Linked DNA regions of Tamandua tetradactyla. The protein of the gene in region 3 purifies or fractionates together with the protein of the main gene of each other region. This does not show direct contact. Links are inferred from orthologs where the notes say so. Each region holds a gene or a part of one and is shown on either strand. Other genes may lie near its edges. The genes, in order: EAPP, CDC5L, EFTUD2 and PRPF6.

Evidence for each region.
Region 1: the proteins of EFTUD2 (region 3) and EAPP purify together in Homo sapiens (affinity purification with mass spectrometry; 4 studies listed by BioGRID and IntAct, counting the BioPlex papers as one, with this or other methods). This does not show direct contact. The link is inferred for Tamandua tetradactyla from reciprocal best matches to the Homo sapiens genes EFTUD2 and EAPP.
Region 2: the proteins of EFTUD2 (region 3) and CDC5L purify together in Homo sapiens (affinity purification with mass spectrometry; 6 studies listed by BioGRID and IntAct, with this or other methods). This does not show direct contact. The link is inferred for Tamandua tetradactyla from reciprocal best matches to the Homo sapiens genes EFTUD2 and CDC5L.
Region 4: the proteins of EFTUD2 (region 3) and PRPF6 purify together in Homo sapiens (affinity purification with mass spectrometry; 6 studies listed by BioGRID and IntAct, with this or other methods). This does not show direct contact. The link is inferred for Tamandua tetradactyla from reciprocal best matches to the Homo sapiens genes EFTUD2 and PRPF6.

Annotation. Positions count from the first base shown.
Region 1 is NC_135340.1:19,477,188-19,485,032, forward strand, and holds the start of EAPP (E2F-associated phosphoprotein), read left to right. Parts: upstream 1-4,833; 5' UTR 4,834-4,949; coding exon 4,950-5,023; intron 5,024-7,845. UniProt on the Homo sapiens protein: May play an important role in the fine-tuning of both major E2F1 activities, the regulation of the cell-cycle and the induction of apoptosis. Promotes S-phase entry, and inhibits p14(ARP) expression.
Region 2 is NC_135331.1:102,015,625-102,022,812, reverse strand, and holds the start of CDC5L (cell division cycle 5-like protein), read right to left. Parts: upstream 3,011-7,188; 5' UTR 2,780-3,010; coding exon 2,735-2,779; intron 775-2,734; coding exon 671-774; intron 1-670.
Region 3 is NC_135332.1:22,527,140-22,534,727, forward strand, and holds the start of EFTUD2 (116 kDa U5 small nuclear ribonucleoprotein component), read left to right. Parts: upstream 1-4,568; 5' UTR 4,569-4,779; intron 4,780-7,588. Other genes in the region: Ig-like V-type domain-containing protein FAM187A, read right to left, coding at 1-577; DNAAF19 (dynein axonemal assembly factor 19), read right to left, coding at 1,589-2,041, 2,675-2,807, 3,180-3,322. UniProt on the Homo sapiens protein: Required for pre-mRNA splicing as component of the spliceosome, including pre-catalytic, catalytic and post-catalytic spliceosomal complexes. Component of the U5 snRNP and the U4/U6-U5 tri-snRNP complex, a building block of the spliceosome.
Region 4 is NC_135327.1:61,424,813-61,431,673, forward strand, and holds the start of PRPF6 (pre-mRNA-processing factor 6), read left to right. Parts: upstream 1-3,859; 5' UTR 3,860-3,992; coding exon 3,993-4,063; intron 4,064-5,821; coding exon 5,822-5,990; intron 5,991-6,861. Other genes in the region: SAMD10 (sterile alpha motif domain-containing protein 10), read right to left, coding at 1,309-1,414. UniProt on the Homo sapiens protein: Involved in pre-mRNA splicing as component of the U4/U6-U5 tri-snRNP complex, one of the building blocks of the spliceosome.

The DNA.
Region 1 (7,845 bases), on a different chromosome or scaffold from region 3:
AGGGCTTCTCCCTCAGCTGGAAGGGCACATGGCGAACACGGCATCATCTAGCTTTCTCTCCTGGCTTCTAATTTCATGAAGCTCCCCGGGAGGAGTTTTCCTTCTTTATCTCCAAAGGTCGCTGGCTCGTGGACTCTCTACTTCGTGGTGCTGCAGCATTCTTTGCTCTCTCCGAATCTCCTTCATTCTCCAAAATGTTTCGTCTTTTATACGACTCCAGAAACTTATCAAGACCCACCGAAATGAGTGGAGACATGTCGTCACCTAATCCAGTTTAACAACCACTCTTGACTAAATCACATCATCCAGGGAGATGATCTGATTACAGTTTCAAACATACAGTATTGAATAGGGATTATTCTGGCTTTTTGAAATGGGATTTAGATTAAAATGTGGCTTTTTTAGGGGACATACATCCTTTCAAACCTGCACAAGAACCATCTGGAGAAAACTCAAATGGTGCCTGCTCCAGGTTCCCAGCCTTACAGGTCAGCAAAGAAAGGAGAATAAGATAGCAGTGGGGCTCTTTCTAGTGAACTGAGACTGAAAGTAACAATAATGGACATCCCAGCTTGGAGAGAGTAACTGCACTCCAAGGGCCAGCTACCCAATGAACCTCAGTGCAATCACGAAAAGAAACACCAGACAAATGAAAATAAAAAATGGAACAAAATGACTGACGGAGGCTACTAGCCCTCCTGACAAAATAAACCAGTGGTAGCCACTGGAGAGTTTTGCCGGGAGAAGAGCCCTTTCCAAGAAGGATTTTTCTAGAAGACAAAACCAGTTGATCTGCAGGTCTTTCTTAGAAGGCAGAACAATGGGAGGCACCTACAGAACTGCAGACAGGCAACACCTGGGGATAAACCAGTTTGGGTCCCAGAGAGTTTATCAGAGTAGATAAGCAGACCATGGTAATCAATGCACATCTGTTCCCCACTTTCTAAGACCCCCTCCCCATCAAGTAAAAGGGAAACTTAATATCAGCTAGTTGGAACATCTCTCCTCTTGCTTCCACTCTGGCCTTTTCTGAGTTTCCACTTCCTGCTCCCTGGGGGGTGCTCCCTTCACTCTCTGAATGGGCCCACCCCCTCCACCATTCGTACATCACCCAAGAAAGCCAGGAGAGCTAAATTGCATGAAAAGGTTTTCTTTTATCATCACATATTCACACAAACAGTGATCAAAGGAGTGGAGTTTTAATGCTTTGTTTATGATACCATGTATACATTTTTCCACCCTTCCTCCCGAGGAGAGTCGATGCCTTAATTTCTGTCTTGGTTATTATGTAGGCAGCTATGTTCAGTGATTTATTCTCAATACAGAGGAGGGGCTCTGGCCCTGGGTATCTACAGTGTGGTTTTCTGTGTAGCAATAGACCAGCAGAGCAAGAAGACAAGAGAGTAAGCAAACAAATAAGTAATATGAGGTAAAAGGGGGAAAAAAGCAGATTAAGGGATTGGAAGATGTGCTACAGAGTAGAAGTTAGGGGTAAGGACTGTTTTAGACAAGGGAGTTGCAGGAAACCTCTCTGCTTTTCTCTCTGTCCCATCTTCCTGCTTCTCTTTGCTTGCTCATTATCACATATAACCCCCAAAGAGCCACCTCAAAATGGCAGCTTCAGCCCCTGAGTTTACTTGCCCTGTTACAAGTCCTAGGAACACCAGTCAATTCTCTAGAATCACTAACTCTTTTTTTTTTTAACATTTTTTATTGTGAAATATGACCTATATAGAAAAAACAATAAAATTCAAGGTATAGGGTAGTGCGACGGTGCCTTAGCGGCAGAACTCTCACCTGCCATGCCCGAGACCTGGGTTCAATTCCCGGTGCCTGTCCACGTGAAAAAAAAAAAAAAAGAAAATTCAAGGTACATTGTACCAAATTTTTACAGAACAGATTTCAGAATTTGGTACGGGTTACAGTTCCACAATTTTAGGTTTTTCTTTCTAGCTGCTCCAAGACACTAGAGACTAAAAGAAACATCAATATGATGACACAGCAGTCATATAGAATCACTAACTCTTAATTTTAATTAGATGGGAGCAAGAATGTAACTGGTCCCGTTTTTATGGATTCATTCATTATAGAACGTAAGGATGTGCCCCTAAATAGGGCCAGGAGTCCCAGAAAAAAAAAAAGGCATCCCACTAAGTAGCTCCATCACATCACTGTGACTCAAGGGAGAATATTGTACCTCCCAAAAGAGTTCGGTGGAACAACAGTTGAAAACCAGAGAAATACATGGCATGAGAGTAGTATAATATGTTATAAAGGCTCAAAGCTGGAAAAGATCCCATGTAGAAGGAGAATCTGAAAAGGCATCATAGAAGAGGTACAGTGTGGAAGGTATCCTTATGGTCATTCCATCCAACTATTGACCCATCTGGTGCTTGTAGGTGGATCTTGGATGACAGGTAGGGTTTGAACAGTTGAAAATACAAGTAGGAGGGGTGGTATTTCAAGGGAATAGCATTAGCAAAGACTTAGTGGTGAAAAGGCATAAAATATTCTGGAATCAGAAAATCATACTGGGTATGTATAGGGGTGTAGTGGGTAGTTTGGCAGGATGAATTGAACTATATAGTGGAAGGCTGAGGATACTGCAGGCTAAGGTGAACAGATTCAGCGGGTAAAGGTGAAACATTAAGACTTTTTAGGAGGGAAATCAGCCAGAGCAGAGCTGTGTTGTGGATTACTCTGCCAGTGGACAATAGCATGGATTGTAGAGGGGAAAAGAACAAAGCAAAGCTGTCAATTAGACTATATTAACAGTCAAGGTAAGTGTTCTAGTTTGCTAGCTGCTGGAATGCAATTACCAGAAACGGAACGGCTTTTAAAAGGGGAATTTAATGAGTTGCTAGTTTATAGTTCTAAGGCCGAGAAAATGTCCCAGTTAAAACAAGTCTAAAGAAATGTCCAATCAAAGGCATCTAGGGAAAGATACCTTGGTTCAAGAAGGCCGATGAAGTTCAGGGTTTCTCTCTCAAGTGAGAAGGCACATGGCGAACACAGTCAGGGTTTCTCTCTCAGCTGGAAGGGCACATGGTGAACACGGCATCATCTGCTAGCTTTCTCTCCTGGCTTCCTAATTCATGAAGCTCCCCGGGAGGTGTCTCCCTTCTTCATCTCCAACGGTCACTGGTTGGTGGACTCTCTGTTTCGTGGTGCTGCAGCATTCTCTGCTCTCTCTGAGTCTCTCTGAATCTCTCATTCTCCAAAATATTTCCTCTTTTATAGGACTCCAATAAACCAATCAAGACCCACCCAAATGGGTGGAGACATGTCGTCCCTTAATCCAGTTTAACAACCACTCTTGACTAAATCCCATCATTCAGGGAGATGATCTGATTACAGTTTCAAACATACAGTATTGAATAGGGATTATTCTACCTTTAGGAAATGGGATTTATATTAAAACTTGTCTTTTCTTAGGGGGCATACATCCTTTCAAACCAGCACAGTAAGGGGTGGGGAAATGGGGTGTGGATGAGACAGGCTGAAAAGAAATTTGCAAGACTTGGGAATTGAGGACCTATAAAGGGGCAGAGAAAGGAGTCAAGCACGATTTCAAGACTTTCAGCTTATAGTAGTTGTGAGGATGCAGGAAGTGACATGAGCAGAAATCATGTGTCACAAGTAACTTTTGGCTGAGAAATTGGAATGGAGTGGAAAATGTTGAATCAGGTTTGAATGGGACTTTGAGTTACCAGTGGTGCAGCAGGTAATTGAAAATCCAAGATATTATCAGAAGAGAGCACAGGGACCAAAGATATGTGTCATCTGGATGGGATCATGAGCAAGAGAAATGTCTGGGTAGAAGGCAGGAAACTGAGTACAGGCTGGTACAGACATAGAGAAGGAAGTGATCTCATGATCAAGAGTTTGTCATCTGCCTCATCTTCTCAAGTACAGAATGGGATCCGATGAGTGCTAAGAAAAGGTTGGGACTGAGAAAAGGCCATGGAGGTGACTGGTGACAGCCTAGCAACTTTTTGGTAGACAGCTGGGGCTGAAGTCAGACAGAGAGGAGTGAGTAGTGTAAAAGTGAGGCAGCAAGCTGCTCAGTGAAAGAATGCAGAAGGGTGTGGTAGTTAGATTCAGCTGTCAACTTGGCCAGGTGAAGGCACCTAGTTCTGTTGCTGTGGACATGAGCCAATGGTAGGTGAACCTGCTGATTATATCTGCAGTCGGCTAGGAGGCATGCCTGCTGCAATGAATGATGTTTGACTTAATTAATTGGTGCTTAAATGAGAGAGCACAATGCAGCACAGCCCAAGCAGCTTGGCATACCTCATCTCAGCACTCGTAGCTCAGCCCAGGCCTTTGGAGATGCAGAAAGGAATCAATCCCGGGTAAATTGTTGGCCTGGAGGCCTGGAGAGAAGGCCAGCAAGATCAAATGTGCCCCCCACATAAGGAAGAACCTCAGTTGAAAGTTAGCTGCCTTTCTTCTGAAGAACTAATGAAATAAATCCCCTTTTATTCAAAGCCAATCTGCCTCTGGTGTGTTGCATTCTGGCAGTTAGCAAACTAGAAGAAAGAGCTTGAGGCCAGGAGTGTAGAGAGAGATCGGGTATCAGCATCTAGGGACGACTGGCTTCAGGGTTCATATCCCTCAGCATCTAGATTTCTGCTTCAAGACACCTCACGCAGGTGAAATGTGACACTACATATCGAGTGTTTACCTCAGAGACTGCCACTTAGGAGGGTACCAATGACTATCTTGGGAGGATTAAGGGAATTGTTAGTTCCCTGTAAGCACAACCCACGGAGGATAACCGTGCTACACTGGGACAGATTCCCCTCGCAGGGCCTGTCTGCGCATGTGCGCAGGAAGGACGCGGTCGTGCGGCGGAAGTGGAGTCGGCGACGCTTTAGGGAAGGGAACGGCGGAGTAAACATCCTCTGCCCACCGCCTGTGGACTGTGTCGGCGGGTGGAGGCCACCATGAACAAGCTCTTGGATGATTATGACCCCTATGCGGTTGAAGAGCCCAGCGACGAAGAGCCGGCTCTAAGCAGGTGGGCCCCCGTCCCGCCCCAGTCCCCGAGGCTCCGACCACGGCCGGGCCTTCTCCTCCTCCTCCTCTTGCTGCGCCTGCTGGGCCTGTGCGGACTCTGGGTCCTGGAGTTCGGTCGCCCGACGTGCCCAGCGGTTTCCTGTCGGAGACTGAGGGAGCTTCCTGGTGGGGATCGCGCAGCCCCGGGAGGCGGGGCCGATATCGCCGCGGGGCAGGTCGATATTACGGAAATCACGGTGGGGGTGGGGTGGGGGTGGGGGTGGGGGGTGGGGTGGGGCTACGTGTAAATCTTCAAAAGCGGTGAGACCGAATCGTGTCTCTGCAGCTTGCTAGCGGAGTGACCTAAGGCAAGTTACTTATTCTCGGTTTTTCACCTGTATAATGGACATACAGTAACTGTGTTGTAAGTTTGTTGTGAGGTTCACGGGGCATGAAATGCCCATCTTGAAGACCAAACTTCCATTAAGAAATACGAGGGAATAAGGAATATTGCACAGACTTTGAGTACCTGTTATTTACTACTTGACTCCAGAGGTCAGCCACAAGAGCCTTAACTTCTGCAGGCTTAGGGTATGGTAGAAAAAATAAGACAAAATATGTATCTCGAAAGAGCTTTTCAGAACATTTACATCACTCCAGAAAAAGAATAAAAAGAAAAAAAACCCATACATCCCATACCCCTTACCCCTCCCTCTCATTGACCACTAGTATTTCCATCTGATTTTTTTTTTTACCCCCAGTCTCCCCTGTTATCTATGTGTCCCTTATTTTTTTACTCATCTGCCCATACCCTGGATAAAAGGAGCATCACACACAAGGCCCATGAATAGTTTTTTGTGTGAACATAAGTTTCATTTCACTAGAATAAATGCCCGTTGGTGCAGTTGCTGGGTTGTATGGTAGTTGCATGTTAGTTTTTAAAGAACTACCAAACTGTTTTCCACAGTGCCTACCATTTTACATTCCCATCAACATGTAAGTTGTTAGTTCCTGGTACTGCTTAAAATTGTCTCTTGCATCCAACACTTTGGAAACACTGCAGTATAGGGCATGTGAGAATTTCTGAACTTTAACTCCATTTACATTTGGTCTGGATAATTCTTGATTGTGGGAGGCTGTCCTTTGCATTGAGAAATATTTAGCTGCAATCTCTGCCAGTTGCTCCAGTTGGGGTAGAGAAAGAATAATAGTGAAAGGTGAAGTTGAAAAGATAAGTTGGAGCCAGATTGTGGAAGGCTGTTTTCAATGCTATTCTCAGAGATTTGGCCAATTGAAGGTCTAAGTTGGATAATGACATGATCAGAATTCTTTAGGAAGGACATTTTTGGCAGCAAGGTTAAGAGTGGAATGAAACAACTATATTTTAGGTACCCTCCCTTAAACTATGTTTAAAATTTTTTCTAGTCTGCTAGTCTAACAGGAGTATAAACAATTCAAGAACAGGGAAAAAGAATATATTTTGAAATATGCAGAAATGGTTGCTGTATGAAGTGAGAAAAGCTGCATGTGGTATGATAGATGTATCAAATGCAATCTTGTAAATTTTTTTTTGCATGGGCAGGCACCAGAAATTGAACCCTGGTCTTCAGTATGGCAGGCGAGAACTCTGCCACTGAGCAAACATGGCCTGCCCTAGTAATTATTTTTTTAAACTTTTTTTTTTTGTATAGTGTAACATATATACAAAGCAAAGAAATAAAAAAAGCAGTAGTTTTCAAAGCACTCTTCAATAAGTGGTTACAGGATAGATCCCAGAGTTTGTCATGGGCTTCCATATGATCCTTTCATATTTTTCCTTTTAGCTGCTCCAGAATATAGGAGGTTAGAGGGCTTAATACTTTTTTTTATCATCACAGTCGACTTTTTTCCTTCTTTTTTTGTGAAAAATAATATATGTACAAAACTATAAATTTCCAAGCACAGCACCACAATTAGTTGTAGAACATATTTCAGACTTTGACGTGGGTTACGCTTTCACAATTTTAGGTTTTTACTTCTAGCTGTTCTAAAATAACTGCAGACTAAAAGAGATATCAATTTAGTGATTCAGCATTCATATTCATTTGTTAAGTCCTATCTTCTATATATAATTCCACCATCACCTTTGAAATTTCCATACCTCTCCTTAGGGTATTTGGGCTATGGCAATTCTAAATTTTTGATTTTGGAAGCGTCTGTCACTAATACGGGATAGGGAGATGGAACTATCTGATGTTCTGGAGAGGCTGTGCTAGGTTTCAGGACTTATCTGCAGCAGGGTCCCATCTGAAGGTTGTAGATTTCTGAGAAGTTACACTAGTGTCTGGAACCCTTGTGGAATCTTATATATTGCCCTAGGTGTTCTTTAGGATTGGCTGGAATGGTCCTAGTTAGGGGTTGGCATGTTATGGTAGGTAGCAAGGTCTAACTGAAGCTTGTGTAAGAGCAACCTCCAGAGTAGCCTCTTGACTCTATTTGAACTCTATGCCACTGATACTTTATTTTATTTTATTTTGTTTTCAGTAGGAAACCTCTAACTTCATTTTTCTTTCTCAGGATATTTTTGGCTATTTGGGGCACACTGCCCTTCCAGATAAATTTTTTTTTATTAATTAAAAAAATATATTACCAGAAAGAAACACAAACATTCTTAACATATGCTCATTCAGTTCTGCATATATAATCAGTAATTCACAATATCATCACATAGTTACATATTCATCATCATGATCATTTCTTAGAACATTTGCATCAATTCAGAAAAAGAAGTAAAAAAACAACAGAAAAATAAAATGAAAACAGAAAAAAAAATTATACATACCATACCCCTTGCCCCTCCCTTTC
Region 2 (7,188 bases), on a different chromosome or scaffold from region 3:
TAGGAACAATCCAAAATATCATCCTAGCACCACATCGGTCAACTGTGGCACCAGACCACTTATGCCAAAAACACACGTAAATAGCTTAATGTGTCTACTACCCTGTGATTTAAAAGGGGCAAAAAACCACAGGTGTAATACTGGCTGATCTTATGGTTTGGGGGTGGCAAATATTTAATATTTCAACTGTATTATAAGGAAACTCACCTACTCTATCTAAGCTAGCCTAGAAAATTAACTGTCATAATTTATTTCTTTGGGAAAATATTTTCTAAACAACCAATTAATGAACTTTTGGAACGCAATCCATTTTATAAGCTGAGGCCCATTTGAACTTAAAAGTAGATTTATCTTAGACTTTTCAAAACCCTCTCAAGCATATTAACTCATTTGAGCCTTATAGCTCCGTGAGTTAGGGCCAACTATTATTACCAATTGTAAGAAAATGGGGTAAGGTCAGAGGGTTAGAAAAACGACTTACCTAAGATCACAAAGGAAGCATGTGACAGTGAGTCTAAAATTCAAATTCTCAACTCCTACATCATACTTTCTGTTATACCACCTTTAGTAAAGTTCAAAGAATAACATTTTTCCTCATCGTGATTAACTTTTCACTCATTAACTGGCACACAGTTGGTATATAACTTTCCACTCATTAATTGGTACATACCATCTAGCTTTGCACTGCTTTGCTGATTTTCTATGTAGTAGCGATGCAATCCTAGACCACTGGTTTTTCCCATATTTCATAACCGCTGCTTTTAAAATTTCATCCTAAAAAAATTGTCAAAGAAAGAGTATATTCAATGACCAAACTCCAAGGGAGAAAAGACAAAATTGACATTAACTTTGAGTATCTGAAGAACTAGAGAAAAAGAGAAAGACACACACAAATGGTAAATTTTAAAAAAAGTTTAAAAACCTCAGAATCAGCAAGCAAGAAATTAAGATGACAATCCCTCAGAAGGATATCCTACCTTTCCTCCTGCCCATAAATTGAGAGTGGAAACAAACCCACATGAGAAACCCTACTTGGTAAAGATTAACAAAAAATGTGCTCTGATGTGTGACTATCATTCTCTTCAATGGGTATAGCTCATCCACTCATTCACTTAAAAAAAAACATTTCATAAACACCTACCTCATGTCAGGTCTTGTATACTTGGAGAAAGAACATTAAAGGGGACACATGCCGGTGCTCAAGAGCAAGGAAACTCTGGTGAATACCTTCCCCACATTCAGGCTTTCTGCATTCAGCTCACCCATGGCACTTCCTTTCTAGCCCCTTAACCCCCATATAGACCCAAGAATCCACATCTCAGGTATAACCTAAAAATTAAGCATTTCTCCCCCCACCCCACCACTCAGATCACCAGTCACCAGACACTGTTTCACCAGGGTACCTATTCCCATACGGATTCACCAAACCCAGGGCAGTTTGACAGACTAAGCCACAGACACCAAGGATGATGGCACTATGGATGAATGCACTTGGGGCATTTTACTTTCACGCTTTTTTTCCCCCACATTAGACACTGTGCTTGACCATCCACTCCCTCCCCCCACCTCCAAAATCATGAGGTAAATGAAAAAGACTGCAGGGTTTGACCACTGCATAGGGATCATGCTGTCTGATTTTGTACATCTGTTTCTCCCCCAGAAGTCATCTCTTCTCCAATTTAAACAATCTGGTTCCCTCAGTACAAACTGTGAGGCAGGCTTTTCACTGCCTTTATTTGTTACTTTGCTGTACTTAAACACAAGGACAACTAAATACATATAGCAGTTATCTACTCTATTAGATTCATTCAGCAAACATCTGCCAAATAACCTACTTCATAATGCTTACTGCCCTAGGTCCTAGGGATACCAAACCTGGTCCTGTCCTCCTGCAAGGTTTCAAAAGAAAGAAGTGGCACTTATTGAAAGGCTACTGTGTGCCACTCTGTTAAGCGTTCCAGATGTATTAACTCATTTAGTCATCAAAAAAAGTAATGTCATCCCCATTTAGACCAATGAGAATACAGAGGCTCTGAGAGGTTAAGAACTCACTCAGCATCACACAGAAGGATGCGATGTTTACAACAGGACAAAGCAAGCTATAACAAACGTGTGCAAGAAATGCCATGAGACCACCGGGAGTGTCAGGAAGATAAGGAAGTGACACCCTTGAGCTCTGTGGGGAGGACAGATGGGTTATACGTGATAAAAGACAACCAAGAGGGATGTGGGCATAACGGACTCTTCCAATCTGGCATTCATGCTGCTACACCTCTGCAAGGAAGTCAATGAAGGCACAAAGTTCTTGGCCACAACACTTCTTTAATTTTGCCTCCTTCTGAATATCAAAGCGAGGCGTGGGTGAGCAGACTGAGGGAGGAGGATACCCCAGAAAACCAACTCTAGCTGATGTCCCATCCCTCCTCCAAACTGCGAGTTCCTCCAGGACGCGAGGGGCGCGTCCTCAATTCACAAATGTTCACTGAAGGCCTAACAAGTGCCTGGCAGTGAGCTCGAGGCTGGGTAGCCCGCTGATTAAATCACAGTCCCCATCCTTGCGGCACGTAGATAACACTGGGAGGGACACACGGTGACTGCCCAGAGGGTCAGCCGACACGCTGCCCCCCAAACACACCCCGCAAGGAATCCTCCTCGCCGCCCTGACCTCTGCGCGCGTGCGCACAAGCGGCCGGATCGGGCGGAGGGCAGCGGACGGCGGGAAAAGGAGACTCACCTCGGTATTTCTCCACACTCCCCCCTTGATCATAATTCGAGGCATCTTCGCGGCGAAGAGTCTCGGCAAACGGCCGAGATAAGCTTCAAAGAAGTACTAACGGTGCTGCGGCCACGGGACCCAGTGCCGCCACTTCCTGCAAGCGCGACCGTCTGCTTTGAAGAGATCTGCGCAGGCGCAAGAGGAACTAAGCGGAATAGCAAATCTCGCGAGATCTCGGGTGGCAGAAAAGAAAAACACGCTTTAGTCAAGGAAGACTGACAGAAACCCATCAAACGACTCTGGGCAAAGCGCTCCGCACTCACTACTGTCCCTGACAAATTAGATCTTGCGAGAAGCCGGAGGCGGAGAGTGTCCGGGAACGTAGCGATGGGATTGGCCAGAACGTCACCCAGGGGCGCGGCGGGGCGTATCCGGGTAGAGTTTCAGCCCAGTCGGTAGGTAGCGAGCCTTGCTAAATTGTTACTTTGGCACTTTATTCGGCAATTCGTTAGTAGGAATTCATTAACAGAATATTAAGGGAAAGGCAACAGTTTATTTAAGCCTCAGTTTCCTAACCTGTGAAATAGAGAGAATAATGAAACCGACCTTGTGCCAAGGAATAAATGAAACAAAGTACATACGCCTAGCACAGTTCTGATACATAATATGTGACCGAAAAATGACAGCTATTATTAAAAGGAAAGCAATTGCAGCCCCACCACCCCCAAGTGATCAGTGGTTGCCCCAGAAATCCACAGAAATATCATGTCAGTTTTTCATTTATCACTCTTCAGCCAGTGTGGATTGTTAGCAATGATAGGCACTAATATTATACAGACTCAGGTTGGGTTGAAATCCTTACTCTCTCCCTCATTCACTGGGGTAAATAACCTTGCTGAATATCAGTATTCTTATATGAAAAGTGGTGCTAACCATACCTACCTCAAAGTTTGGGAGCAGATTAATCAAACCATACCTAATACACAATGAGGTAGGGATCGGCAAACTCTCTGCTCTCCCACCTCCCAGTTACTCAGTCTTCACCATTTCTGAACATTTCATTGCCATTCGCCCAGGAGGTTATGAAAATATTTAATGTCTTTCTCCTTCTATTTCTTCACTTCTTCATTTGCCTCTTCTAGAAGAGCTGCACAGAATTTTCCGATTAGATTTTTGTTGCTGTTTTTAACCTTGAAATGGGAAATTCTATCAAGAAAGTCACTATTTTATTTGAAAAGAAGCCAGCATAAGATTATGAATAGCACACAGACTTGATAAGATCTGGGTCTACTCCTGTCTTTGCTTCCAACTGCCTGTGTGACTGGAGACATACCATTTCCTATCTGTGGACTGCTGTTTGCAAGGCTTTCCTGTAAGATGTATGCCCAGTACCTCCTGCCCATCTTGCCCGTACTGTCCATTCAGTTGCTGTTTTTACAGTGCACTCACTCACTCGCTCACATACACCCACTGGCCATTTGACTGATCTGATCAAAGCTGAGCCATCAAGTCTCCTCTCCAGAAATTTTGACTTTGGGACGTAGAAGTGGTCCTTTTCTCTGCTGGCTGCTAAACCTCTAACATGTGACATCCAGTTTTCCACCACCATGTTTGTGCCAAGAAGAGAAGAAAGTCTGTCTGCAGGTGCACCAAAGTGGGAAGAAAGGAAAGTGAAGAAAGGGGCAGGTCCTTACTTTATCAGAGTCCCTCCATCCAATATTTCCTGAGGTCCAACTGTACTTTTTTTTTTTTTTAAGTCCTTTTGGTTAGTTCCCTGTTGGCTTTAGCCTGTTGGAGTTGGGTATCTGTTATTTGAAACCAAGAGTCCAAACAAATCCAAAGTTGGGCCAGAACTTTCTCAGCTCTTTCAGATCTAATATCCGAAGAGTCCATAATAATGTCTTCCCCTTCAACTCAGGGCCACCTCTAGCCCATATGTCACCTTTATGCCAACTAGAAAAATGTACCCCTTCCTCAAGACACTTTACTGCCACCAACTGGAAAACTTCATAGAATACTGATGTTTTGAGAATAGGACCCTCTACTACAAGAAAATTTAATTCCATATATGGGATGTGAATTGCACCCTCCTCAGGGTATACCCTGTACAACCTGTGCATCCAGATGGAGCAGCCCTGTCATATGTCCCTTGAGACTTATACATTTCTCCAAAGAAAATCTGCAAATGGCCAATAAGCAAATGAAAAGATGCTCAACATCATTTAGCCGATAGGGAAATGCAAATCAAACCACAGTGAGTTATGGGATCTATTCTTGTCACTAGATCTGAATACCTGAACAGACCAAGAGCAAAAAATGACAGACTCAGAGGATCTTCGTAAGGGTGTTCCTGTCACATCAGAAGGTGCGCCATTCCAGGCAAGCACCAGAGACATCCACAAAGGAAATGAATGGTTTACTGAAAAACAAGAGACATCCACAAAGGAAATGAACGGTTTACTGAAAAACAACTAGAAGATTTGACAATCTTATTCAATAAGAACCCATACCCAAACCCTGGTCTTCAGAAAGAAATGGCCTTTAAAATGGGTATACATCCAACAATGCTGCTAGTTTGGTTCAAGAACCATAAAGCAAAACTCATGAAAGCAAAATACAAGTATATTCAGCAAAAACAAGAAGGTCAACAACAGCAGTTACCTGAGGAAGGAGTCAAGATCAGTCCTTCCAAAAGAAATATGGACACGCCACACAGACCCCTGGAGAGTGTTTCCCCTATCTCCTTAGTTTATACAGATTATTCAGTATCCTCATTCCAATTTAGCATCTGTCTCAACTTTAGAGCCCCAACTGACAACTTTATTGGCCGCAAAATAGTCCATTTTGGCTGCTGCCAAGACCCAAACATATACTGTTTCCAACCCACTTTTGAATCCCAAATTCTCCCCCCAAACTTAGATTCTATTTCTTTTTATCTTCATCTCTACAAATAACTTAAATGGCATATTAAGTTCTCTCCATTATAACTTTTCTGTAAATCTAAAATTATCCTCAAATAGAAAGTTCATCTTTGAGTTCTGTTTTCAGGATACTCAGGCTAGGACATATCCACTAAAAGATAATCAAAAAAAAAAAAAGATCACATATCACATGGTATTCAGCCTCTTTAGAATTGAGTTATGTCCCCTACAAGGCCTTTTCAAGTCATCTATGAATAGGATCTTCAAAGATTCTATTAAGATGAAGCCAATTAAATCAGGTTGGCCTTAACCCTATAACACTGGAATCCTTCAGAAGCAAAGGAAATTTTGGCATGAAAGTAGAAGCCTCAATGGGAAACCAAAGAAGACAGATCACCATGTACAGAGACACACAAGCCACCACCAGAAAACTACAGACATCTGAGAAAGCATGGTCCACTGATACCTTGATTTCAGACTTCTAGCCTCCAAAACATCAATACAATAAATTCCTGTTGTTTAAGAAAAAAAAAAAAGCTACAACCTTACACCCACCAGAACTATTATTTTGAAAAAAGAAAATAATAAGTACTGACAAGGATGCAGAGAAATATGAACCCTTGTACACTGTTGGTGGGAATATAAAATGGTACAGTAGCTATGGAAAACAATTTTACAGTTCCTCAGGAAGTTAAACATAGAATTACTTCTAGGTGTGTATCCAAAAGAATTGAAAGCAGGGATTTGGACAGATATCTGTATGCCAATATTCATAGCAGCATTGCTCACAATAGCCAAAAAGTAGGAGGAACCCAAGTAAGTGTCCATCAGCAGTTGAGTGAATAAACAAAATATGGAATGCAGTGGAATATTACTCAGCCATAAAAAGGAGCAAAGTACTGCTACATGCTACAATATGGATGACTCTTGAAGATACCATGTTGAGTGAACTAAGCCAAACACAAAAAGACAGATGTATGATTTCACTTATATGAAATATTTAGAATATGCAAATTCATAGAGGCAGAAAGTAGATTACAGGTTATCAAGGGCAGGAAGAAGGGGGAAATGGAAAGTTAATATTTAAGGGGTTCAAAGTTTCTGTTTGAGAAGATGGAAAAGTTTTTGGTAATAGATGGTAGTGATAATAGCACAACATTGTGGGCAATAAATACAACTTGTTTACTTGAAAGTGATGAATATGGGAAATTTCATGTTATATATATGTTACCACAATAAAAAAATAAAAATAAATGAATAAAATGAGCCTTAAGGCACTTTTGGATGTACAAACCACTTGTCCTGCTTCAGGATTCAGAAAACACACCTTCTGACAGTCTCAGACTGTCTGAAATCAGTTTCCCATAGCCACAATCACCAGGGGCTGTCCTCTAGTATGGCCTGAATTGGCCAGTCTCCCCCACCAGGCACCCCAGTGTCACCCGCCAAGCCTGGGGTCCTCACCAAGAGGCCATGTCCACTTTAGGATCTCTGGTGGGGCAGTCTTAAGGAGCAGCCACCATCAGAACAATCCAGATTGTATAGTCGGTC
Region 3 (7,588 bases):
GGCCGATGCGCCACCGCTCGCCTCGCACCCCACAGCGGTCACAGGGCGTCCACTCCCAGAAGGTGGTGAAGACATGGAGGCTCCCATGCTGCTCATCTTCAAAGGGCTCCTGGCCCTTGTCCTTAAAGGTGGCCACCATTCCCTCACTGCTCTGGATGTCCACATCGTAGGCGTAAAAGTAGTCCCCTTTGCGGGTTCCGCAGAAGTACAGGCCTGAGTCCTCGGGCTGGGCCCGGAAAACCAACAAGCTGAACATGCGGATGCTGAAGCGGACCAGCATGTCGCTGCCCACCCGCACCTGAGCCACCTCGGTCAGCACCCGCCCGTCGAAGTCTGTCAGCACTTTGGTGTGGCTGCTACCTAGGTGCTTTTGGTAGTACCAGACTACAGCCGGCACCTCCTCAGGCTTGCAGTGACAGGGAAGCTCAAAGCTCATGTCAGCCAGGTAGGCTGCATTGTCAAACATCAAAAAAGCCGGGCAGGGGGTCTTCTGAAAAATGTTCTCCTTCTCCACGATTTCAAAGGCCTGAAGACTTCCCCAGACCCACAGGAGCACGGTGGTGTGGGCCAGGCTCATGCCTGCAGGAGAGCAGGTTCAGAGGGGGAGGTGCAAAACCAAGGCACTAAAGGCCCTGTGGCATCTAAAAATCCCTGCTGAGAGCAGGGGCAGATGGGAGCAAAGGATTACTCAGCGAGGAAAAAAAAACTACACTCTGTGGAGGAAGTGGCCAAAGCCAAGGCAATTTATTCCCAGCTGATATACAAAATGGCCTTCAAATGTTCCAGACCTGGTCTCATGAGGAAACCATTCTAGAACCTGGCCTTCACTCGCCTTTCTAGAACTCTGGCACTCATCCAAGAATGGGTCAGGGGAAACCAATGAAAAGCAAGGGCCCAGTGGCTGGGATGAAAAAATTTCTGCCTCACTCTAGGCTCTACCCTGCCCTGCCTACTTGGTGGAAGGGTCTTCCTTTCTGTCAGTCTGAGAGATGAAGGAAATCCTCATGCCACCACACATGGCCATCTGAAGAAGTCTGGGGGGCTGGCCAGACCTGAGCTCATAGCTTGGGACTTTCCCAGGACCAACCTGCAAAGAAGCCCAGTCCCTGGGGAGAAATGCTACACCCTAAATGAGGTAGCTTTTGATCATTTGTGGTTGTAATAGCCACTCATTGGTTTGGGGTTATAAATATTCTTATTAAGAGCGGTGGAGATCACTTATTTACTATGAAGGATTAAGGATTTACTTTCTCTTTTTTTTGAGTGAAGAGCATTATTGATGTAGCCATCTCTCAGAGCCAGGGGAAGCTGGGAGAGGGGATAAAGGCTTAGATAGGTTCTAAAGGTGGGAAGTAAAACTGCTTTCAAACTCTTGGGCCATTGACTACCCTTTGGATCCAGAGTTCCAAACATGGAGCCACTAGGGGTTAGAGAAGTGGGAAAGATCCGATTCCTGCTCTTGCTCAGAAAATTCCAAGTTGAGAAGGGCATTAGGGGTGAGTTTCTCATTGCAGTCCTGCAGAGCCCCCAAGACAACAACAAAATGCCTTGAGTGGTCTCTGGGGGCCTCTGAGAGCAGATGGTCCTATCAGTCCATCTGGTACAGTCCCAGAAGCTCCTGCAGGAGCCTCTCTTCATCTTGGGGCCCTTCAGGTTGCTCCTCCAGACCCTGCTTCTCCTGGCTGAGCCTTTCTTTCATGGGACTTGGGGCACCCATGGCCTGAAGCTTCTGAAACAAGCTTCTGCAGCTCTCCTTCTCTGCATGGCTCAGCAAGCTCAGGTTTAAGGTGAAGCGTCCAGTACTGGCCAGACTGCGCAAGATACCCAGTACTGCCACCCTGTCAATTGGCCTCATGTGATCAGCCAGGGCCACCAACAACTCCCCTAGAAGTCCAAACCCTACATCTGTCTGGAAGAGGTGACCCAGCTTGGGACCCCCAAGCTGTAGCAGGACCTGGTAGCGCTCTGGTCCACTCTGCAAGTATCGTCGCCAATTGCGGTAGAACTCTGCTGAGGTCTCAGGCTGGAGGAGTGTTTTCTCCTGGATTACAAAGGAAAGAAAGAGAGTCCAGAGCTTGTCCAGCTGCTCTGGGGCAGTGAGAGGGAGGGAAATTGCTACTCTGATAGTGCTATCTGAGTACTGGTTGTGGTCCCTATGGGCCTCATTTTCAAATGCGGGAGCTGGGACAGGAAGGGAGAGCCCTCAGTTGTATAAGATTTTCCCACTGATGAATGGGGACATGATCCCAATCTAAGAGAGTAAGTCATGGTTTACTGTGACCAGGGTGTAGGGGATGATTGGAAATCTCAAGAAGAAGAATGAATTCGAGGTGAGTATCAAGGATCTGACAGACTAGGTCTCCCTCTCAACACTGCCAAAAGATCATTATAGTATTTACAACCTGGAGGCAGAGAAACTCCAGCCTTATCTGGGAATGAAAGTCAAAGGACTGACAGAAGGGGACCTGCGGAGCCCAAATTTCTGACTTGACCTGCCGAACCCAACTTGGCCCCACCATCCTCTGGTTGCTTTCCTTTCTGGGATTAGAGGCAGAAATCTGTCTCTGTTGTCCTTACACTAAAAATAAGGAATAGGTATGTGTTGTAAGAAGACAGGATTGCATGTTCAGGGCAGAGAATTTTGCTGGGCTGAAGAGGCTGGGCCCACCCCTACCTGTGAGATTTCAGTAGCCTCATCCTGGGAGGTATGTCCCGGAGTTGTGTGACAGTTCCAGGACACAATCGCTTTTCCTCTCATCTTGTCTTTTCGCTCCAGAGGCTTCAGATGGGAGGCAAGGACAATACCCCTGTGGGCAAAGGACAGAGATGGAGGAATGGATGTAATGCTCTGTGAATGGAAGGTAGCTGGGCTTGGCTCACTACAGGCTGAATCTGTTGACAAACCAACATAACAATAATGATAATAGTAACAGCAACAATAGCCAAAGGTTATTGAATACTTCTTGTGTGTCTACTGTGCAGCAACTCATTTAATCGATACAAGGGCTACTCTCTTTGAAAATTGAGGCCCAGAGAGGTTAAGTAATGTGCACAAGATCACACATCTAGTAAAAGGTGAGGCCAGGAATGAAGCCCAGAACTGTCTGACTCTAGAGTCCCTGTTCTTTTCCACTATTGTTACCATAAGAGAGGCCTGAGAAAAATGACAGTGAGTCAACCTGAATTCCTCATACGTAGTCACCCTCTGTTCCACTGCCCTTAACTTGGCAGCATTCTCCCGCTTGTACTTCTCATCAGCAGCAAGTGCAGCCTGCAGCTCTTTCTCCAAAGCCTTGAAGTTGATGACATCATTCCTTTCCATGGCTTGTACCTGGGAAGGCAAAGAAAATGGATATTAGCAGAGGGTCAATATAAGGGAATGCTGGGGCCTCTGGATTCTTTGCCATCCCACAAAATGATCCAAAAGCACTCTGGGAATCATTAACTTACCTTGTATTTATGTGTGTGTGTGTGTGTTGAGGGGCAGTAATACAAAAATCTAGTTTTCTGCTTTACAAGGAGGGGAACTGAATAGCAGAGTAGGGACTTGCTAAAGACTTGTCACTAAAAATAGAACAAAGTTCCAACTTTCAGTTTGGAGCCCTATTAATTTTGTTCTCTGCCTCTAAAACTATCTGAATGTTGAGTGCTTTGTCTGAGGAGGCATTGGATTTCAGAATTCAGCCCCTCCAGTCTTCCATATGGGTAAATTTTTGGGATGGACCACTTCAACTAAAAAAAGAACTATTAACTACTCTTGAGCCTGGGGTAAGATTTCACCTTTCATGAAATACTTTAAATAGGGAGGGGCATTTTTCACCCAAACTAGATGCCATGACTGAGCAGGAAATCAACACATGGCAGAGAAGTGGCTCAATGATCCCCGCCTCTGGCCAGTCAAGGAGGAGCACAGGTTTCTATGTTCTCAGATGAACTCTTTAATTCTGCCACTCTGATTCTGCAGCCTCCACGTACCTTTGGCGGATCGATTCTTTCTACAGGGAAGTCATCTATATGGATTTCTACCGGGAAGTCATCTATATGGATTCTAGTTTTGGTTTCAACATTTACTTGCTTGAGATCTCTCTGAACCTCCTGGTGAATTTTGTGGCGGAGTTATCAACTGTCCTGAGGCAGACAAGCAGGAGGTCCTCATCCAACCCCACGGCTACTACCCCCATCCCCAGCATGGGTAAGAGAAACGACAGGAAAGGACCAGAGTGAGCTAGAAACTCAACTCAGGCATCTTGACTCCTTCCCAATCTATCTATCTATTGAACAGATAGAACAACTAACCCTTCCACTTTTAACCCCCGACTCAGATCCCGGAACTTTATCCCGCAGTTCAGGCCCTAGACGCCTTGCTTTCTTTGGGGTTACCCTGATAAATTGGGACAAAAGAGCAACTCAGTGCAGATCGCGCCCAGCAGCTGTGGTTGCCTAGCAACTGCTCCACCAGCCTGCCCACGTGATCCGCCCGAAGGCCCCCTTTCGGGGTGGTCCATAGGCGCCTGCTCTAATTCACGCCTACTCAGGACTTACTCTCTGTGGGACAGTCCACGCTTTGTTGTGGGGACCCACGACTCTTCCTCGCAGGTTTTTGTCTCCGCGGCCGGCGCTATTCCGAGCCAGTCCTCAGGCGGAGGGTTGTCCTCCCGGCAGAAACGCGACTAAGGCGTCTATGGGGTCCTTCCCAACGCGGGCTCAGGTGTCGCGCGGCGTGGGACGGAAGCGCGGCGGCCGGCGGCTGGGTTAGGACTCTTGGCTAGCAGGCGGCAGGTGAGTTGATGAGGGTCAGTGGTATGGAAACGTTGCTCCGGGTGGGATGGGAAATTAAAGAACGTCAGATCTGGAGTAGGCATTATGTGCTGTCTGTTCTTTTACTTTACATGTGGGGAAATTGAGGCCTAGAGCAGGAAAGGAACATAGGGACCACTCCAGAAAGGCCTTTTCCCCACCCCGCTCAGATCCCTGAATTCCCTCGATATAGTCCATCCATAAAATTCCGTTCCTGGCAGGGGTCGTGCTCTAACTGCTTAGCCTTCTCACATACTCCCACTTCTGGACCGCCTTCACCTCTTCTTTACCAATCTGCTTTCCTCTTTATTTGATTTTTTTTTTTTGAGAATATGCTTGATAGCGGGAAGCTGCAGTGAAGACCGGCGCCAAAAGTCACTAACTAGCTTTGTGCAACTGAGGAAGTCACCTAGCTTCTCTGTGCCTTGGTGGAGTCATTCATCAGTAAATATTTATTGAGGGTCTCTTTTGTGCCGGCACTGTGATAAAGGAGAAAACAAAGTCTTTGCTTAGAGTGTAGTAGAGTCAGTGAACGATAAACAGACGAATAGATGTGAAAGTCAGCTTGTGATATATATTAAGGAAATAATAAAACAGTTTAAGTGAGGGGCAGAGAGTGGATATGTGGGGGACTTTTTCAGAGTGACAAGGGAAGATTTCTCAGAGAAGGTGACATTTTGATAAAGACCTAAAGGAAGTGAAGGGAAAAGGCATAAATATCCAACAGAAGAGCGTTCCAGACAGACGGAATAACAAATACAGAGGGCATAGCAAATACAGAGGATCTGAGGCTTGTTCTGTAAATAGCCTTGTATAAGAATCTCTTGTCACTTCATGAGATCTTGGGAGGATGACTTGAGCACAGATGTGACAGCTCTTTGGAAGTAAAAAAGAGTACGTGAATACAAATGCTTTCCTAATATTTACATTTAATTAATGGTTCACAGGACTCAATTCTCTATTTCATCTATGGTCAGCATTGAGGAGGTAGTATTGAGGGAGATGGAAGGATTAACCTAATGCAAGAAATATCAGTATCTCAAAGTTGGGCATTCTATATAGTTAACATTTATCCCACCCCTACTTATGCAAGGTGCTGTCTAGGGCATTTATAGGTAGACACAAGGAGTATAGGGTCCCCATATTCAAGAATGTCCAGAAATAATGATAACTGTGCTGAATTCTGTGTGCAAACTGTTTTGTTTAATCCTCACAGCACTACACAGTGGGAATTATTCACTCCATTTTCCAGTTGAGAAAGCAGGTTTGGAGAGGTGAAGTAACTTATCTGAAGTCACTCAGTTTTTAAGTGACAAAGTCAAGATTTGAGTCTAGATCTTCCAATTCCAGAGCCCTGTTAAAAATGCTCTTCTGTGTTGTCTATTACTTGTAAATTTTATGAAAAAAGACTTGAACAGACACTTCTCAGAAGAGGAAATACAAATGGCCAAAAGGCACATGAAGAGATGCTCAACGTCCCTGGCCATTAGAGAAATGCAAATCAAAACCACAATGAGATATCATCTCACACCCACCAGAATGGCCATTATCAACAAAACAGAAAATGACAAGTGCTGGAGAGGATGTGGAGAAAGTTTAGAGTTCTCAGTGAGACTAGTTAGCAGAATTAAATGCTGATAAAGGTGCAAAGTGCTGTAGCAGTGTAGGAAAGTGAAAAATTGACTCACTATAAGGAGGGCATTTGAACTGTCACTTTGAATAGAATTTCAGTAATTGACGTGGAAAAAAGCCACAAAATACTTATTAATAACAAATGGAAAACTAGTCATTTTACGATAGAAAAACCTGACCGGCACCACCTTAGTCAGTTAACATCACCTCTAAAGGGGCCATTTGAAATCATGTGCCACTTGACAAAATGTACGGAGGAGAACATGGTATTACTTCTGTGGTGTTCCTGCCAAAGATTCATAAACTAAATCTAGTTACGAGAAATCATCAACAAACCCAAATTAAGGGACATTTTACAAAATCACTGGCCAGTAATCCTATCAGTGTCATGATCATGAAGGTCAAGGAAAGACTGAGGAACTTGTTCCAGCTTGAAATAATAGTGGCATCGCAACTAAATTCAACATGTGATCCTGGATCAGATCCATTGCTGTGCAGGATGTTATTGGAAATATGTGAAACTTAAATGGAGTCCTATGAATTAAATAGTAGTAATGTGCCAAAACTAATTTTTTTTTGTTTTTTATTTTGGTGGTTGTAGTGTGGTTATACAGGAGAATATCCTTGTTTGTAGGAATCATACACTAAAGCAAGGGGGTTAGCAAACTTTTTTGGTTAATGATCAGAAAGTACTTATTTTAGGCTTTGTGGATCATATAGTCTCAGTTGCAACTATTCAACTCTGTTGTTGTAGTGTAAAGCAGCCTAAGACAATATAAATGACTGCATGTGACTGTGTTAATTTATTTATAGACATAAATTTTGAATTTCCTCTCATTGATTTTCATGTACCACACACTATTCTTTTAATTTTGTCAATCATTTAAATAAGTAAAAAGCTATCAACAGATGAATGGATAAAGTGTGGTATATATATGATAGAATATTGCTCAATTATAAAAAGGAATGAAGTTCTGATATTTGGTACAACATGGATAAACCTTGAATACATTGTGTTGGGTGAAATAAGCCAGACACAAAAGGATAAATACTGTATGATTTCACTTATGTGAACTAACTAGAATATGGAAATTCATAGAGACAAAGCTGATTATAAGTTCTGGAATAGAAGTGGGAAATGGGGAGTTAATGCTTAATG
Region 4 (6,861 bases), on a different chromosome or scaffold from region 3:
TTCCCCAAACACATGTAGGGATTTCCTGCCTTGCTGCCTTCTGCATGGGCTGCCCCCTTCCCTGCCCGGCCATGGGGAGTCACCAGGCCCAGGTCAGCACTGGGCATGTGGCAGTGCAGGCAGGCGCATACTGGTTCAGCACAGGTGTGGCACACGCATCAGGCCTGGGAACCATGGCATGCCCAGACTCCCTCGTCCCCCACCAGCTGCATCACCCTTGTCAAGCATCTGCTTTACAGTCATTTCTGGGATCTTTGCTGAAATGAGATCAGGCAGGACATTCACCTTGATAGGAGCCAGAAGGTCCATGAGAAACATTGTGAAGGAAGGAAGAAAGGAAGGAGAGAGCAAAAGGGAGGGAAGGAAGAAAGAAGGGAAGGCAGGAAGGGTGGAAGGGGAAAGCTCCGTGTGGCAAAGTCAAGAGAAGTGGTGGGAGAGACAGGAAGTTGGGACCCAAGCTCTGGGTCAGCAGGGTAGGGGTCCGTGCTGAGGCCAAGGGCCAGTGCTCCTTTCTCCCCCTTTAGCCCTAGAAGGAGAGACCCTACCTCCTCTCCAAGACCAATCCCGGGTCCCCACCGCCTGGGGCCGGGCTTGGGCGTGTGCCCAGGAAGTCTCCCCACAAGCAAATCAGCATCCCACCCTTCTCTTTCCACCTCCCCCAGGTTGGGAATTACGCCCTCCACCTGTACCTAAGTGACTCTAAGTTTGAGGTGGTGAGTCAGACTCGGAGGGTGGGGTCGGTGTGGGCCCCACCCCGAGAATTGTCTTCTAGTAACGTGGGCAAAGACTTATTCTAAGGCCGCACCATTCAGGGCAGAGGCGCTGGGCCCGGACCTCCCCGCACTCTTCCAGGAAGCCAGTCGGCCGCCCCCGCGCGCACCTGCCCGGGGTTGGCCGGGCCCCGCCCATTTCCTGCTTGGCACTAGGGGAAGGGGCTTCCGTCCACAGGTCGGTGGGTCCTTCCCAGTCTAACGTCGGAATTCTAGCAGGGAATGAGGAGTAGGCAGCAATTTGGGCTGTGACCTCACACCTTCTCGGCCTCGCTGCCAGGGCCAGATAGGGTTTTCTGCGCGCGAAGAAAAAGGTGACCCCAGTGTGCTGCCAGCCTGGCGACAGGAGCCCGGCCAAGGGCGCACTGGTCCTTAAGGTCTTAAGTCGACTTGCCCTCCTCCGACCCTCCACACAGGACAAAGGCCAAGGGGACCCTGTGCGGCCAGGGCCCGCCCCCCTCAGCACCCCACCGCTCCAAGCCAGCAGGGTCCCGCCTCCCTCGTTCCACAGCCCCTAGCCGGGCGCGGCCCCGCTCACCATCCACATCCCGGCGCTCCCCGAAGCCGGCGCGCACGGCCCCGGCGCCACCCCTTGGGGGGCTCAGCTTGGACCTCAGCTCGGTGAACATGGGGCCCGCGCGCATACGCCCCTAGCCGAGCGCACCGCGGCTGGTGTGGTAGCGGGGAACGCGCGCCGCTGCCCCGCCCCACCGAGCGCCGCGCCCCCCGCGCCTGAGCGGGTCGTCGCGCCTGAGCCGCTGTGGTCAGCAGCGCCGGGTCTCCGCGGCCGGCGAGTCTGCGCGCGAGACACCTGCCCGCAGAGCCCCTGCGCCCCGCGCGCTCTGGGAGCTCGGCGGTGTGGCGGCGCGCACGCGCGCGCGCGCTCGGGTCTGCGTGTGCAAAGACTGTATGCGAGGGCACAGGGCGTCCGTCCGCACCTGGCAGGGCTCCGAAGACGCAAGGAGAACTTGCGTCTGAGGTAGGGATCGTGGGGACTACTGGGTCCCCTGTATTGGGGTGAGGGGGGCGAATCGTACCTACTTCTGGGCCATCCACCCTTAGGAGCCCAAACCAAGAGCCAGAGCAGACCCTCCTAACACCTCCCTCAAGTTACCTACCTCATTATTTTTTTTAATTAATTAAAAAAAAAATTAAATACCAAAAAAGACCAAACACAAACATTCGTAACTTTTGATCATTCCATTCTACATATATAATCAATAATTCACAATATCATCACATAGTTGCATATTCATCATCATGATCATTTCTTAGAACATTTGCATCAATTCAGAAAAAGAAATAAGATAACAGAAAAAAATTCATATATACCATACACCTTGCCTCTCCCTTTCATTGATCACTAGCATTTCAGGCAAAATTTTTTTTAACATTTGTTCCCCCTATTATTTATTTTTATTCCAAGTTTTACTCGTGTGTTGATGAGGTGGATAAAAGGAGCATCAGACACAACGTTTTCACAATCACACAGCCACATTGTGAAAGCTATAGCATTATACAATCATCTTCAAGAAACGTGGTTACCTGAACACAGCTCCACATTTTCAGGCAGTTCCCTCCAGCCTCTCCACTACATCCTTACTAACAAGGTGCTATCTATATAATGTGTAAGAATAACCTCCAGGATAACCTCTGGACTCTGTTTGGAATCTCTCAGCCACTGATACTTTGTCTCATTTCACTCTTCCCCCTTTTGGTGGAGAAGGTTTTCTCAATCCCCTGATGCTGAGTCTCAGCTCATTCCAGGATTTCTGTCCCACATTGCCAGGAAGGTCCACACCCCTGGGAGTCATGTCCCACGTAGACACTACCTCATTAATTTATTCGTTCACTCTTTTATTCACACATTCGCATTCTACAGACCTCTCCTCCAGTGGGCCCGGCATGGTCACCTCGGAGACACCAGTTTTATCTCTCCTTTGTCCCCACCATCCTGTGAATTTCAGAAGGACACTGAGCGTCTGGTGCAGCACCCTGCACATCTCAGGGACTGAGATGAGTGAGGCTCAGTTAAAGATTGCAGGGGAGAGGGAGGCTATATGAGATAGGAGGGATGTGTTTGCTCTGGGTTCCCCAGTGAAAAGTGCTGAGGTGGGCTAGGGCACAGGGAAAAGTGTGTGGTCGCCCTGCCCAGCACCAGCTGGCCTTTGCCTGCTCTGCCAGAGAGCAGATGTGGTCAAGAGTGGGAGGGGCCTCGGTGCTCCCCCAGGTATGTTCGGGAGTGGAGGATGCCTCCCCAGCCAGAATGAGCAAAGATGCACATCCACATGCAATAATGCATGCAGATTTCAGTCATACATGTCCACCGAAATATATGCACACATATGCAACCTGACCTGAGCACATCCCACCAATACACAACATTGACACAGAATTTACCCACATGCTGTGACTGCCCATGCATACATACTGACGTGTATGTGGACATGTCTGCAGGGGCCTTGATGTTCACTCGGCTTGGGGACGTGCAGTGAACAAAACAGGCAGGGCTCGGGCCCTCACCAGAATGTTCAGGGAACGGTTGAGGGCACGGGTGCCGCCCGACCGCAGCGGGAGTCCCTGGATTGACTGCCAGGGACCAGCGGCTCAACTGGGGCCGGGGAATCTGTGTACAAGAGATGCACAACAGACAGGTTTGCCCACAATCAGAACATACACACATGGGCGTGCAGCTCTGCTCAGATGACATTAGGGCCTGCCTGTCTGGAAGACCAGGGCAGCTCTGAGGGGCAGGGGGGTTAGCGGAGGCCGAATAGGATGGGACCCTGGCAGCCGGGCTGGCTTCGATGGGGAGGGGTCCTGTTAGCACAGGAAGGCCTCCTCGCGAAACGCATCTGAGAACACTCAACACTCAGAAAACAGAAATGCCACAGGCGCCATGTTAGGGTCCCGCAGGGTTTGTCCTGGGTGTTGTGGCCCTTTGACCCCTTCGAGCCGGACGGGCGCTGCCCACCTGGCCACCAGCAGACGTGGCCACCAGCATCCCAGCACTACAGCAGTGGTCTGGAGTTGCCGGAAACAGCGTTCGAGGAACTTCCGCCCAACCCCCGCGGGTGGGCGGGGCTTCGCGCGGACCGCGAACTATGCTTCCGGGTCGCGGGTGACGCGGGACGCGTCCTGTGTCCGCGGCGAAGCCTCGGCGTCAGTGCTCCTGGATTTGCGTTTGAGGCCTTGTAGTTTTCCGATCAAGCCGCCGCCGCCATGAACAAGAAGAAGAAACCGTTCTTGGGCATGCCTGCGCCTCTGGGCTATGTGCCGGGGTTGGGCCGCGGGTGAGGCTTGGGCGGGCTGCGGAGCGGACTGAGGGCCGGGCTGGGGCGGCGGGAGGTGTGTGCCTGGGGAGGGGTCCTGGGGCGGGGCCGGGGCGGCGGGAGGTGCGCTTGGGAAGGGAGAGGGAGACGGAATCGGGCTGGGTATCACTCTCCCTTTCTGACCCGGCCTTCTCCCACCTGCATCTCTGCTTTTTTGTCCACTTGGGAAGGACCGTTCTGATTGTATCCACGCTTAACCCCTGGAGACAGCAGGACTTAGGGTAGCTTGCCAAACAAGAACAATAATAAAAGTTAAAGTCTGCAGCCACACAATCTGAAAGACAGGCGGTGGTTTGGCCCGAGCCTCGTGGGAAACGCTGGGCTCGGGGTCAGCAAAGACCTAAGTAGGAATCTCCCTGCTCCTCAGCAGAGATGTAACTTTTCACTTAGAGACCCGTGTTGAGGAATATCGCTGTAAAACCACCCTGGAGTAGAAACTCATGTGTAGTGTCCTCCCCAGGCCAGGCATCACCCACTCTTCCTGCCGGTCTTGACCTAAACGTGACTGAACTTTTCCTGACTATCCAGGCTGCATGAGGCGCCTCAGTTGTAGCAGCTTCTAGTACCCTGTTTTTTCTCTCTAGTAGCGTTCACGTTGCTTGTTTAAACTCTTAGTCCCCCAGGGACAGGGATGGCATCTGCGAGGCTTGAAATCCGGTCCCAATGCTTATCACACAGAACACATACATTGTTGAATAAATGAACAGTCTTTATTTTCTTTGCTTAGTTAGTCATTTGACTAGGAAAACTAACGAGCTTCTCTCGTGGGTGTTCAGGTGAGGTGAGACATTTGCATAAATAACCTGAAGAGGAACTGATTGAGAACTCTGGGGTTCCCAAGACTAGGGAATCCTCTGTGGCAGCATTTGAGCCAGGTTCTGAAGGAGGGTTGACTTTAGAGATGTAGAAAGGTGGCAGAGGTAGAGCAGAAGCTGACATTCTGTGTGGGTTAAAAAAAAAAAAAAAGGGAGAAGCACTGAGGAAGAAAGCACAGCAGGAGGCCAGTGTGAATGGATCATGTGGTGAAGGGAAAGATGCTGGAGGTCAGCAGGGCCTTGGACATCAGTCTGAGCTTAGTTAGGCTTAGGAAAAGTGGTGGCGACTGAGATGGCCTGTTTAGAGCAGTGCTTGCATGGGTTTAAGCAGGAGAAGGCCAGAGGCAGAAAGGCTCATTTGCCTCCCAACCAGATGGGAGTCCTATGGTCGGGAGAGGAGATAGCCCATAGGTAGGATCAGTAGGACTTGGGTACAGATTGGTCGGAGGTGAGGAAGGAGGGAGGCGAAGGTGATGCTCTGGTGCCTGCCTTGGCACTGCCATCACCACTTGAAACAGCCCAGAGCAGAGCAAGACAGACAGAGGACTTGGTTTGGGCCAAGTTGGTGTGAGGGACTCATTGGATGTCAAGGTAGAGATGATCAGTAGGTTGTTGGAAATGCAAGGCTGGAACTTAGGAGAAAGGATGACTTGATTCTCTGGGCATCTTGTGTGGAAGAGAAAGTAGGGAAGACTTGGAGCCTTGGCATCCCCAATAAACCCCCTTGGAAGGTTTATTGCCCAAAGACAATAGCCACCAATGTCTTTTGGAGGTTTCTCACAGATGTTAGAAAAAAAGGTGCTGTAGGTTATCAAGGAGGGTGGTTGGGAGAACACGGGAACAGGGTAACCCGGATCATGTGCAGGTGGGCCTCTTGGATCCCCTGAGCAGCTTTCTCCCGCAGTGCCACTGGCTTCACCACCCGGTCAGACATTGGGCCCGCCCGGGACGCAAATGACCCAGTAGATGACCGCCATGCACCGCCAGGCAAGAGGACCGTTGGTGACCAGATGAAGAAAAACCAGGCTGCAGATGATGATGACGAAGATCTGAACGACACCAACTACGATGAGGTGACTGACCCCATGTGGTGACCCTATGAGGTGACCTCCTGTGTCGTGGACTTTCCTTGGGCTCCCTGCCAGTCCCTAGAAGGGCTGACCAGTTTTCTTACCCAGCATGCTCAAGGAAGGCAGGTACATTTCATATTTCAGCTGTTCATGGGATGCCATTGGCAGAGTGTGAGGAGAGCAGGGAAAAACACTGAAATGTGCTCTTTTGCTGTCTCTTCAGAGGAAATATACTTGCAAATATTAGAACCATTGCCTTGGTGTTTTGTCTTGGCTGGTATTTAGTGATGAAAGCTTAGAGTGTTATTAGTGATAACATTTGTTTTCTTTTACTTTAGTTCTCACCCTCTTAGTGAGTTGGGTAACTGGTCTTTGGTGAGTTGACATTTCCTTCAGGTGTATGCTAACAAATGGCATCTTTCCTAAGTGACAGGAAGATTAAAAAAAAAATTCAGAAAAAATTTCAGAGTTCCCTTCACCAGGCTTCCCTTTATGTTAACGTCTTGCATAACCTTAGTGCAATTATTGAAACCAGAAAATTAAACACTGATACAGTACTATTAACCAATTTATAGGTCATGTAAATTTGCCGGTTTTTCCACTGATGTCCTTTTTCTGGCCCAGGACCTTGTCCAGGACCTGTTATGTTTAGTCATCATGTTGTCTTAGTCTCCTCAGTTGGGACAGCTCCTCAGTCTAACATGACCTTGACAATTTTGAAAAGCACTGATCAGTTATTTTGTAGCTTATCTCTTAATTTTGGTTTGTATGAAGAAAGAGATTATTCAGTGAGCATTTTCCACCTAGAGATGTTTTCTCTTACTGGTGGGGTTTGTATGGGAGGAAATGCTTACCTCATTAGCACAATTTTTGG